3 linked regions of the Ovis aries genome follow. The protein of the gene in region 2 binds, or shares a complex with, the protein of the main gene of each other region. Links are inferred from orthologs where the notes say so. Each region holds a gene or a part of one and is shown on either strand. Other genes may lie near its edges. The genes, in order: CALR3, CELF1 and CALR.

Region 1 (3,709 bases), on a different chromosome or scaffold from region 2:
TCTGTATGCAGGTCAAGAAGCAACAGTTAGAATCGGACATGGAACAACGGAGTGGTTCCAAATTGGGAAAGGAGTATGTCAAGGCTGTGTATTGTCGCCCTGCTTATTTAACTTCTATGCAGAGTACATCATGAAACACTGGGCTGGATGAAGCACAAGCTGGAATCAAGATTGCCGGGAGAAATATCAATAACCTGAGATACGCAGATGACACCACCCTTATGGCAGAAAGTGAAGAGGAACTAAAGAGCCTCTTGATGAAAGTGAAAGAGGAGAGTGAAAAAGTTGGCTTAAAGCTCAACTTCAGAAAACTAAGATCATAACATCTGGTCCCATCACTTCATGGTAAATCGATGGGGAAACAGTGGAAACAGTAAGAGACTTTATTTTGGGGGCTCCAAAATCACTGCAGATGGTGACTGCAATCAAGAAATTAAAAGACGCATACTCCATGGAAGAAAAGCTGTGACCAAACTAGACAGCGTATTAAAAAGCAGAGATGGTATTTTGCCAACAAAGGTCCATCTAGTCAAGGCTATGGTTTTTCCATTAGTCACGTATGGATGTGAGAGTTGGACTACAAAGAAAGCTGAGCACTGAAGAATAGATGCTTTTGAGCTGTGGTGTTGGAGAAGACTTTTGAAAGTCCCTTGGACTGCAAGAAGGTCCAACCAGTCCATCCTAAAGGAGATCAGTCCTGAGTATTCACTGAAAGGACTGATTTGAAGCTGAAACTCCAATACTTTGGCCACCTGATGCAAAAAACTGACTCATTTGAAAAGACCCTGATGCTGGGAAAGACTGAGGGCAGGAGGACTTGAAGAGGACAACAGAGAATGAGATGGTTGGATGGCATCATTAACTCGATGGACATGAGTTTGAGCAAGCTCCGGGAGTTGGTGATGGACAGCGAAGCCTGGAGTCCACAGGGTCCCAAAGAAGTGGACAAGACTGAGCCACTGAACTGAACTGAAGGCCATCTGACTCACCCCACTCCTCAGCCATCACCATCACCTCTCAGCACCTCTCTTCTCTGTCTAGTTAAATTCTGTGGATTTTTCCATCCGTGACTTCTATGTCATGATCCTGGGGGGCCACCATGAGGGGTGGAATTAACCAGTATACTGAGTGTCTTGCCTGTATCTGCTCTCAGTAGACACGTGCTGGAGTGAATGAAATGCAGAGTCTAGAGTCCCAGCATTTCTGGCTGGAGGAAGGAAAAATATTGTGGCGGAAAAAAACAAATGACAGCTCCACTCCTTAGACAAGCTTCATAGAACTTGTTATTTTCAACTCCATTTTTTCCACTACAGCCTGACAATTTGGAGCACCATGTATCTATGAAACAATGCAAGTACATTTCAAAACCAGAGGTTGCCTTGGTGTAACAGGGCCAAGATGGAAGATGAATGGAACGTCAACGAAAGGTGGTGAAGAGGGGAACTTTTCATTTAAATCAGGGGTTGGTAAACTTTTTTCTGTTAAAGCCAGGGAATAAACATTTTACACTTTTGAGAGTCTGAACTACTCAATTCTGCCTTGAGAATTGTGATCTGAAAGCAGGCACAGATTGTATGCAAATAAGTAAGCATGGCTGTGTTCCACTAACCCTTTATTTATGGACTGTGAAATTTCAGACACTGCATGGAGTGCTTCGTATAACTTTAATGCATCACAAAATACTATTTCCCTTTCTTTTTTCTCCAACAACTAAACAATGAAGAGGGGACTCTCTGGTGGTCCGGCGGTTAAGAACTGGCCTTGTAATGTAGGAGACAGAGGTTCAGGCTCTGTTCTGGGAACCAAGATCGCACATACTAAGCACCTAAGCCAGGGTGACACAGCTAGAGAGCTCGTGCATGGCAAGGAAAATATCTCACCACAGAACGGAAATTCCCGCATGCTGTGACTGAGCCTTGAGGTAGATAAAAAAAAAATTTAGAAATCTAACTGAGTGTATAAATAAACAGGCAGTAGTTTATCTACTTTTAATTATTAGGAATGAGAAGCCAGAATGGAGGTTATTCTTGGTACCAGAAGGGTACTGACTTGGGGCCGGGTGGGGGCGGGGGACTTGCCTCTAGGGGTGGAAGTGGGGCCTGAAAGTTCCTATCTTGATCTGGGTGTCCAGTCACAAACTATATTCATTCTATTGGACCCCCTAAGATCCATCCACTTGACAGCATATAACTTTTACCTTTTTTTTTTTTTTAACTTGAAAATAAAAATGAGAAGTATCTTCTAATCTTTTCCTTCTGGAGCCTAAGGCCCTCCCGTCTCCAAACCCATATGACTAGCGCTTGTAAAAAGGCATCATCTTGGTCTCTTCTAAAGAGAGAAAAGACAAAACAACCCTACCCAGGCCTGTTTCCCGAATTGTGAAATGGGTGTTGGGGTGTGCCACACCTACCTTGAAACTTAATTTCACGTTTCCTACACTAACCTTTATCTTTCTCTTTATGACCATAAAAATTCCCGGACGAAAGTCTAAAATGCCCAAATTGGGAGTCATTAGTGGAAGGTACCCATCGGTTCCGCCAGCGCTCTGTAAGGGGTAAATAACACAAGTTAGGGCTGAAAATTGTTAATGCGTGTCGTGGGGAGAATGATGGGGACGCCCGAGGCTTCGAAGCTTCAGGGTTTTGATACCACCGATCCTTCGTCTAAAGGCCGGGTCCAAATGGCAACTCAGGCCATCCAATGGGCAACGGGGTATGCGGGAGCTTACACCCCCGCCACCATCGGCGTCGCCTCTTCACCTCCATCTAGAAATTCCTCCTGGAAGTAGACGGTGGCCAGCGCCACCCGCAGCACACAAACTGCCCAGAGCGGGACGCGAGCCGCGGCCATGGATCGTGCGGCACCACTTCTTCTCTTAACCGCCCCTTTGCGCGTCCGGCGGTCTCCGCGGCCCGCCAGGCCCGCCCCGGAACTACAGCTCCCGTCACGCCTCGCGATTATGACCCGAGAGTCCACTGGGCTCTGACGCGCGGTGCACACCAGGCCCGCCCCCAAAACTACCACTCCCATGAAGCCTTGCGATTATGACCTGAGGCTCTATTGGTTCTCAGGGCGCGGGGTGACCCGGGAGATGTAGTCTCTTTTACCCTAGCGCTTTTGCCGAGGGCAACGGTCCCCTCTGGCAGGAGTGTTCCACCGTGAGCGGCGGCAGCCTCCGCGGAAGGACTTCGCGGGAGGAGGTTGGCGGGGTTGGCTGGGCGGTGGCCAGACTTGATGCTTGGGCTCGGGAGAGGAATTGAGGGAAACGGGGCGCCCTCCGGAGCTGAGTAGGTCGGGCAGCGGGAGGGCGGTTCAGGGGCCTCAAGCCTCCGTTTCCCTGTCTGAGGCGCACTGGAGAAGATGGTCCGATGTGGGTCGCTCCAGGCCTTGGGGAACAACCCGCTGGTCTGAAGGGCGCCCCAATTTTCAAAATTTGGTTTATCTTTTAACAGCTTTATTGATAACTCATCTACATACGGTACAGTTCACCCCCATTAAGCTTACAATTCACGTTATTTTACTAAAAATTTACCAAATGGTGCAAGCATCACCACCATCCAGCTTTCGAACTTGTAGGTCACCCGAAGTGTATCTCTCCATCCCCGCTAACACCCGCAGTCGCAGGCAACCACCGATGGGCTTTGTGAGTTTGTGGATTTGCCTTTTCTGGACAGTCCTTGTAACTGGAATAATAGGCTGTGTGGTTTTT
Region 2 (3,647 bases):
AGAAGAATAACTCTGGTAACTGTGCATGGTGGCAGATCGAGACTTCCTGTAGTGTCACTCCACAGCACACACAGACACTGGATCATCATGCTGCACAGCTGCAACTGACATATCATGCGCCACTATACCTCCACAGAAGGGCAATCAGCGCACGAGGCAACCCAAATGCCTGAGGGCAGCAAACACACCCGCAGGAACCGCGTACGGGGAGGACTCCCGCACGTGCTCGCTTACCGTTGTTCTTCTCGCTGTCGGCAGGCTTCATCTGTATCGGATGATGCATCTAAAACGGAAGACACCTGACTATTAGCATTACACACACTGAAGGCATTCGGAAACACAGATGAGGACTCTCAGGGAAATACCAAAACCGAGCTTTAAGAGGTGTCTCTGGGGACCTCCCTGGTGATCCAGTGGCTAAGAATCCACCTTGCAATGCAGGGGACGTGGGTTCAACTGCTGATCAGGGAACTAAGATCCCACATGCCCTGGAGCAACTAACCCCATGCGCCACAACTAGGGTCCGTACGCTGCAATGACGCAACCAACCGAGACCCGACGCACCAAAGAAAGGAAGAACTGTCTCTGAACTCACGCCTGCCTCATTATCTCTCCTCAGCAGAACCTCAAAATAGAATGTGAGTCAACAAGTCAAAATTCTCTCGGCTGAGAATCACTTTCAATCTATCTTCTTTGAAACATTCCCTTTATTCCTCCTTTGCATCAGTTGCTGTGGCAGTCACCCCGTTCCCCCCATAAGTGTGCTCCACACGTCAAAGCCACCGCGGTTCCACTTACTAGTAGAAGTTTCTTACCCCTGGGAGGACCTTCATGTTGTGAAGAGCGTTCTGAGCTTCTAATGCAGCTTTTCGGGTGTAAAATGTAACAAAACAGCACCCTGCAATAAACAATACTTAATGAAATCAAACCAGTCCTTTGAAAGGAGATAATTTACGAGAGCACTCCCTCCTCCAGGGATACATTGAAAGTCAAAAGCCAGGGCTGGGTTTATTCAAATGGGTGGGTGGGTGGGTGGCGAGAGGGGAGGGAGGGAGATGGAGAAAATCTAACAAGGAAGAGAAAAAAAAAAAAAGATTTTCTACCATTTTCTTTATTGCTATCGTCACCTGGTTGTCTTCTTCTTTAGCTGCTCCTGTAACTTCGCTGGCAAGATGGCTGTCCTTACAAAGGTCACAGAACCACGCCATTCAGCCCGCCCTCCACTGCCCAGGCAGTGCGCTGGGCACAAAGACTCAGCCTCGCCCTCTTACAGCCTGTGGTCTACAACTCCTCCTTTCTCAGAACAGGCCTTACACTGCAGCCAGCTTCTACCATATGCCTTAACATAATCATCACTTATTAAATTATAAAATGACTTAAGCGCAAGGCTCTCTTAGTATCTATTTCTTGGACTCTTGGGTCTCATCAAATATAATTACATGTCCAACAGCACTTGACTGAGGAGACCTTGGGACTCTGTGCTCTGTGTTTTTACTGGGGATGGGAGGGCATAAGTATGTTTTGTAAATCTTAGGCCCGCAGTCCCATAAGATATGATATAGATTTCTTTTAAAATCACCCTGCAATTAAGATTTTAAATTACTGTATATTACACTGACAGTCATTTTCGGAAACTATAATACCTTTTACTTTTGGCTAACTACGCCACAAAGAAAAAATAATTCCTCAGCTCTAGACCCTTCGCTATTAAGCTGGTTTAAGCACGACAATCACGCCTGCTTACCTCTGTACTATAGGACAGCTTCCATAGAAAATCACTCTGAAATGGGTTATCTGGGAAAACAAGTGTATATCTGCATGTGTCTAGGGGCAAAGCTAACACCTGATCTACTATCAGTCCTATAAACCCTCTCCTCTGCTGGGTATTTCCAGAGGCAGCTTGCCTTCCTTCCCCTGTTCATTTTGTAGGCTATAACAACCAGGTGATCTATAAACAAGCCCCTCCTAGTTGCTAAGCCATCCCAGAAGGCCTCTGTAACACCAACAAAAGCCCACGAGTACCTGGACAGTCTTCCCCTTTTCACTTACCCTAGCTAAAATACTAAAAACCCCCTACGTGGTGGGTTTACTTCAACTTTATTTCTGTCATTCCATTACCAAGGTCAAATGAGACACTCACAGGAGTCTGTCTCTTGACTTTACAGATCTTGAAAATGACTGCCCAAGATCCAACTTACAAATTATCCTCATGATGTCACTCATGAGGATTTTCTTTTATTTTTAAGCCATTAAACGAGTTTGCACTGGGAGATATAGCTGCAACAAAAAGACAGTCAGATCCCCCCGCCATGACCACAAGTGCATTCTGGCAACGAGACAGAGCATGCGCGTGACTGCAAATACACATAAACCCAAGGCCCTTCCTTACCTTTGCTCTGTGGAGGGTTTTGGCTCCTATCCCTTAGGACATTGATTTCATAGACAGCACCATACTGTTCAAACAGTTCCCTCAAGTCCTTCTCAGACCAGGTCCTTGGAACCTGGCCCACAAACATCTTGATGGCATCAAGATCCGGTTGATCTGGGTGGTCCAGGGTGCCGTTCATTTTCTTTGAGCTGCATAAAACGGATTTCTATTATGTATCCATGTTGTTTCTAAGAGAAAGTTCCTTTCTTTAAAAGTCTCAACTACTTCCTGAAGAAGTAAGGGGGAAAAGCCTACTTCTTTTCACTACTTACATTCAATCTACCAGGGCCCCCAGCCGCCCCGCACTATGCCACCCCTTCCATCTGACCCCAGACTAAAGGCACCACTCTGATTAGGGTGCCCTGGGCTTTAACGCATGAAACGAACGCCAGTCATTCCTTGTCTAGCTAGAGAAGTCTCAGAACTTAAGAGGTAAAGTTCCTAAAGAAAGCTTTAATCATTTTTAAGTAGAGCTAATAAAATTTTATAAAATGTCCACAAAATCACAAAAGACTACTGCTTATGGGTAGGATTCAGGATTCTCAATCTACACAATGATGGGTGAAAAGTTTTCTCTCAGTAGATGTCAGAACAGAAGCACAGGACTTCCAAGGCCTAAGAACTGACTAGAACATTAATCTTTGGGTGTTGCTGTCTCATGCATAATCCTGGTACTCTTGAGTGAGGCCCTCCAATCAAAACAAAATAAAACCTCTTAAACTTTTACAAACGATTGTTATATAAACAACGATGTCATCATTCTAGGGTCTTCTGTTTCTAAGTAATCCGATTTGCTGCTATTTCTCCAAGATTTTACCAGTTAATTCCCTTACCAACTCTAACTGTTATAATGTCCACAAATTCCTCGAATCTGATCACACCAAACCTGTAACACTCCTGTTTAAATGCCTTCACTCCTACCCCTGCCACTGTCAAGAACCATGGGGGAAACGCTTACACTATTAAATGTTTCCATTCAGAATGAATCAAAGTGCTTCTCCTACCACCTTTTCACAATCTTATTCTGAGCATTTATCCAAACTAGTAACACCTGACATTCCAAATAGTTAGCATGGTTAACTTTTGTCAGTGTTTGATAAATCCAGAAATTACATCACCATGTTCGAATGTGTCTTTCTTTCTTTCATGCATTCTTTCTAATGTTCAACCTCAAATAAAACACCACTTTTCTTTAAAAGAAAAACAGTTTTGTCACCAG
Region 3 (3,747 bases), on a different chromosome or scaffold from region 2:
TTTGGAGTCTGCCCGCCCTTGTCCCCTTTTCTCCTGGGTTGACCCTGAGCACCTGAGGTCCCCTAGGGAGCCGCCTCTTCCCTCCATGTCTCACCTGCCAAAGATCCAAGCCTAGAACAGCAAAGTTTTCATAGGCGTAGATGTTGCTATCAGGGGAATACTCAGGGTTGTCAATCTCTGGATGGATCCAAACGCCCTTGTACTCTGGGTTGTCGATCTGCCTGGGCTTCCACTCCCCCTGCAGAAGTAAACTGACGGGTGAGCGAAGATCACTGCCTTCCCCATTGTGCACCACCCTCCTCAGAGTGCCAGACTCACCTTGTACTCTGGGTTCTGAATAACAGGTGGTTCCCACTCTCCGTCCATCTCTTCATCCCAGTCCTCAGGTTTCTTAGCATCAGGGTCAGGAATGTGCTCAGGCTTGTCCCAATCCTGAGGATACATTAGGAGGTCAGAATAGGAGCAGCTGTCCTCCACACGCTCCATGGTGGGGAGCCCCTGCCCAAGCACCAACCTCAGGCTTGGAGTCTGTGGGGTCATCGATCTTGGCACGATCATCCCAGTCTTCAGGCTTAGCGGCATCAGGATCCTTTATCTTCTTGGGGGGCAAGAAATCCCAGTCGTCCTCCAAGGAGCCTGACTCCACCTGGCTGTTATCAATCTTCACCTCATACGTATTATCAGGCCGCACAATCAGCGTGTACAGGTGGGTGAATTCATCGTCCTAAAGAGAATGAAAGATGAGTGGCCCCGCCCACCAGCCTGGGCTCAAAGCCTCCCCTCACAGCCATTTGTGACCACCCCCAAGGCACACCTTGCAGCGAATATCCTTGTTGATCAGCACATTCTTGCCCTTGTAGTTGAAGATGACATGAACCTTCTTGGTGCCGGGTCCACAGATGTCTGGGCCTTGGTGAGAAGCAGATCTTGGTCAGAACTACAGTCTGTCCACCATTACAAGCCCCTGCCCACCCCATTACAAAAAGACAACTTGGTTCTTAAACTCAGGACTGTCAAGCTGAAAAAACAAAATTCAGACCTTCTCTCTAAGGAACTGGGGGAGGACACTTAAAAAAAAACAAACCACACATCAGTACTCCAGAACTCACAATCTTCACTTGCACAACTAGGAACAAGGAAATGCCTATATAGTAAAACTGCACGAATTAGTGTGAAGTCGATGATAAAAATGCAGTAAGTGGTTCCTAACTATTCCCTCACCTTCCCTATGAAAGAAATGCCTAAAGCATGTAAGTGTTTTCTATGCTCTCAAGACCACCGTTCATGGGCGATAAAGAACTCCCCGGGTTTCAAACTCCCTCTAAGTGACCAGAAATCAGCACCAGGGTGGAGTCCCCTTACCAAACATGATGTTGTATTCGGAGTCCCCGTGCATGTCTGTCTGATCCAAACCAGCTGGAAACAGCTTCACATAGCCGCCCCCACAGTCGATGTTCTGCTCGTGTTTCACCGTGAACTGCACCACCAGCGTCTGACCCTTGTTGCTGAAAGGCTCAAATCTCGCCGACAGTGCGTAGAACCGGGCATCCTGGCTAGTCTGCAGGCCTACCGAGAGACTATAATCAGATCAGGGCTCAGCACCAACCCCCCGGGGAACCCTAAGGATGTAAAATACACACCAGTCCTCCTTCCTTCACCTCCCCTACTTCTAGGGATACCCAAACTCTGTCCTCCTGGATCTGAATACCCACTCCTAAGTTCTTACCTTTATCTTTCTCCTGGTCACCATAGAACTTGCCGGAACTGAGAACGAATTTGCCAAAATCCGGTTTGTGTTTGGATTCGATCCAGCGCTCGGTCCACCCGTCTAGAGGATCAAAGAGGCAGGTAAGCGCGGCGGTGCTGATCAACTCCCCACCAAACATCTACCAGGAGCCACAAACTGCTGGGAGCAAGGAAGGAGATTCCCCCCTCCCCCCAGACCGTCCCCACCCCAACCTCTAGTTTGACATCTCTGGTGACTTAAAAGATCCTCGGGCAAACCCTAACTCCCGCTTCGGAAAGCCGCTGCTCCCTCCACGCTCCCCAGGGACGCCGAAGGAAGGCTCGCCTTCGGCTCCAGTCCCTGAAGGAAACCGTGTTGGCCCTCTGAGCAGTAATTACAAGCGACACGCAGATATGGGCCGGAGGGCCAGCCGCGTCGTTAGGACGATCTCGAGCGGGACTAGCCGTTACCTCCGTCCAGAAACTGCTCCTTGAAGTAAACGGTGGGATCAGCGGCGGCCAGGCCGAGAAGGCCGAGCAGCAGCGGCACGGGTAGCAGCATGGCGGGCCGAGGGGGCGGTGGCGCGCGGGCCCTTTAAGTCACTCGTCCGGCAGCAGCTCTGCAGTGGGGACGGACGCCGCCGCCGGCCGTGCCCTTTTATACCCCGCCTGCTCTCAAACCAGCCTGGTCCGGCCTCTTGGTCCGCCTTCCTCACTTTATCATTGGTCTGTGGCCATAGCCCTGCCTTTCCATTGGACCCTTCTAGGCTCAGCATGTTAGGCTGTGCCTCGGAACGCTGGGTTCCCAGATGGCCGATTTCTATTGGCCGCACCACTGGCCAATGAAGGTCGACCACGCGTTGTGGGGGACGCCCACCGGTGAAGTCGGGGGGGCCTCGAGCCCCTCAGTCCAGGTCATGTGACCAGACCTCGGCCCAGCCCCGCCCTCCCTTGCGCGCGGCGTTCGGGATCTAGGCGTTTAAAGAACACGCGCGAGCTGTGGTGCTGCGTGAAGCTAGGGTCCGGCTCCATTCTAGACTCCACTCAAGGGTTGAGTGGGCAAGGTTTTCCTAGCGTCTTTCTACTCTGAGTTTGGGGAACCCCACCATTCCCACCTTGTCTTTCTCTTCCTTCCCACTCCTCTTCCCGTCCTCCACCCGCCTCCCTGCCCCCCCCCCCCCCCCCCCCCCCCGCCTTCCTCCCCAACCCCGCCTTCTCCCTCCCACACCTCCCTCCCCCGGGATGGGGCAGAGGGCACCGAGCCCTGGGGCTTCACTTCCTCCCAGCGCCGGAGCCCTGCAGGCCTGGGGGAAGAGTGCCTGTTCTCAGTACGGTCCCCGTAGTGACCTGGCAGCCTGTCAGACTGCTTCTGTGTGAGCTGGGGCAAGTCATTCAGCCTCTTTGAAATCACAGGATCTCTTGAAAGGCCAGGAGGAGCGACCCCGGCCAGCTGCTGTCCGGCGGAAATGCTTTTCAAGCTTTTAGGGATTTTCTGGGACAGAGGGAAGGACCCTGACGGCTCAAAAGATGTGACGACAGGTTGTGTTCCTCTCTTTGCAGCCTGTCCTTTACCTCCCTCCCATCCCCGCCCCCCAGCCGGTAAATGAAAGGGGTCGCCGCCTTGTGGTCTCCCGCAAACGGCCTGGTTTTGCAATTAAACGGCTGAATATGAGCGGGCAGGGGGTTCCGTTGGGGAGGAGAAAAAAAAAGAGGCAGATGGTGAGGAAGATAAGGTCCAAGAGAGGTGGGCAGGACCCCTGAGACTAGAGCCTTCTGAGGCCACAGGCACATGACTGGCAGTGACTGACACCAGCCCCATACCCCTAGGCTGCAGGAAGGAGGAAGGAGAACGGGGACTTTCCCAAACTGAGCAAATAGGCTCTGGACTTGGGAAGTAGGAATAAACTGGCGAAGGCGGGGGGTGGGGGGTTGGGGTGGTGGGGGGAGCGGATTCTGGCAAAAGAGTGGGGAGGGTGTACTTCCCCTCCAGTGGTGGGGACTGGGAAAGGGAGGTGTGACGAG

The links.
Region 1: CELF1 (region 2) and CALR3 share a complex: the UniProt entries of both Homo sapiens proteins name them as parts of the EIF2 complex. The link is inferred for Ovis aries from reciprocal best matches to the Homo sapiens genes CELF1 and CALR3.
Region 3: CELF1 (region 2) and CALR share a complex: the UniProt entries of both Homo sapiens proteins name them as parts of the EIF2 complex. The link is inferred for Ovis aries from reciprocal best matches to the Homo sapiens genes CELF1 and CALR.

The regions. Positions count from the first base shown.
Region 1 is NC_056058.1:6,298,168-6,301,876, reverse strand, and holds the start of CALR3 (calreticulin-3), read right to left. Parts: upstream 2,929-3,709; 5' UTR 2,851-2,928; coding exon 2,760-2,850; intron 2,546-2,759; coding exon 2,444-2,545; intron 1-2,443. UniProt on the Homo sapiens protein: During spermatogenesis, may act as a lectin-independent chaperone for specific client proteins such as ADAM3. Required for sperm fertility. CALR3 capacity for calcium-binding may be absent or much lower than that of CALR.
Region 2 is NC_056068.1:76,232,783-76,236,429, forward strand, and holds part of CELF1 (CUGBP Elav-like family member 1), read right to left. Parts: intron 2,578-3,647; coding exon 2,390-2,577; intron 899-2,389; coding exon 816-898; intron 284-815; coding exon 235-283; intron 1-234. UniProt on the Homo sapiens protein: RNA-binding protein implicated in the regulation of several post-transcriptional events. Involved in pre-mRNA alternative splicing, mRNA translation and stability.
Region 3 is NC_056058.1:10,924,033-10,927,779, forward strand, and holds the start of CALR (calreticulin), read right to left. Parts: upstream 2,359-3,747; 5' UTR 2,288-2,358; coding exon 2,197-2,287; intron 1,829-2,196; coding exon 1,727-1,828; intron 1,567-1,726; coding exon 1,363-1,566; intron 910-1,362; coding exon 815-909; intron 725-814; coding exon 515-724; intron 433-514; coding exon 319-432; intron 239-318; coding exon 95-238; intron 1-94. UniProt on the Homo sapiens protein: Calcium-binding chaperone that promotes folding, oligomeric assembly and quality control in the endoplasmic reticulum (ER) via the calreticulin/calnexin cycle.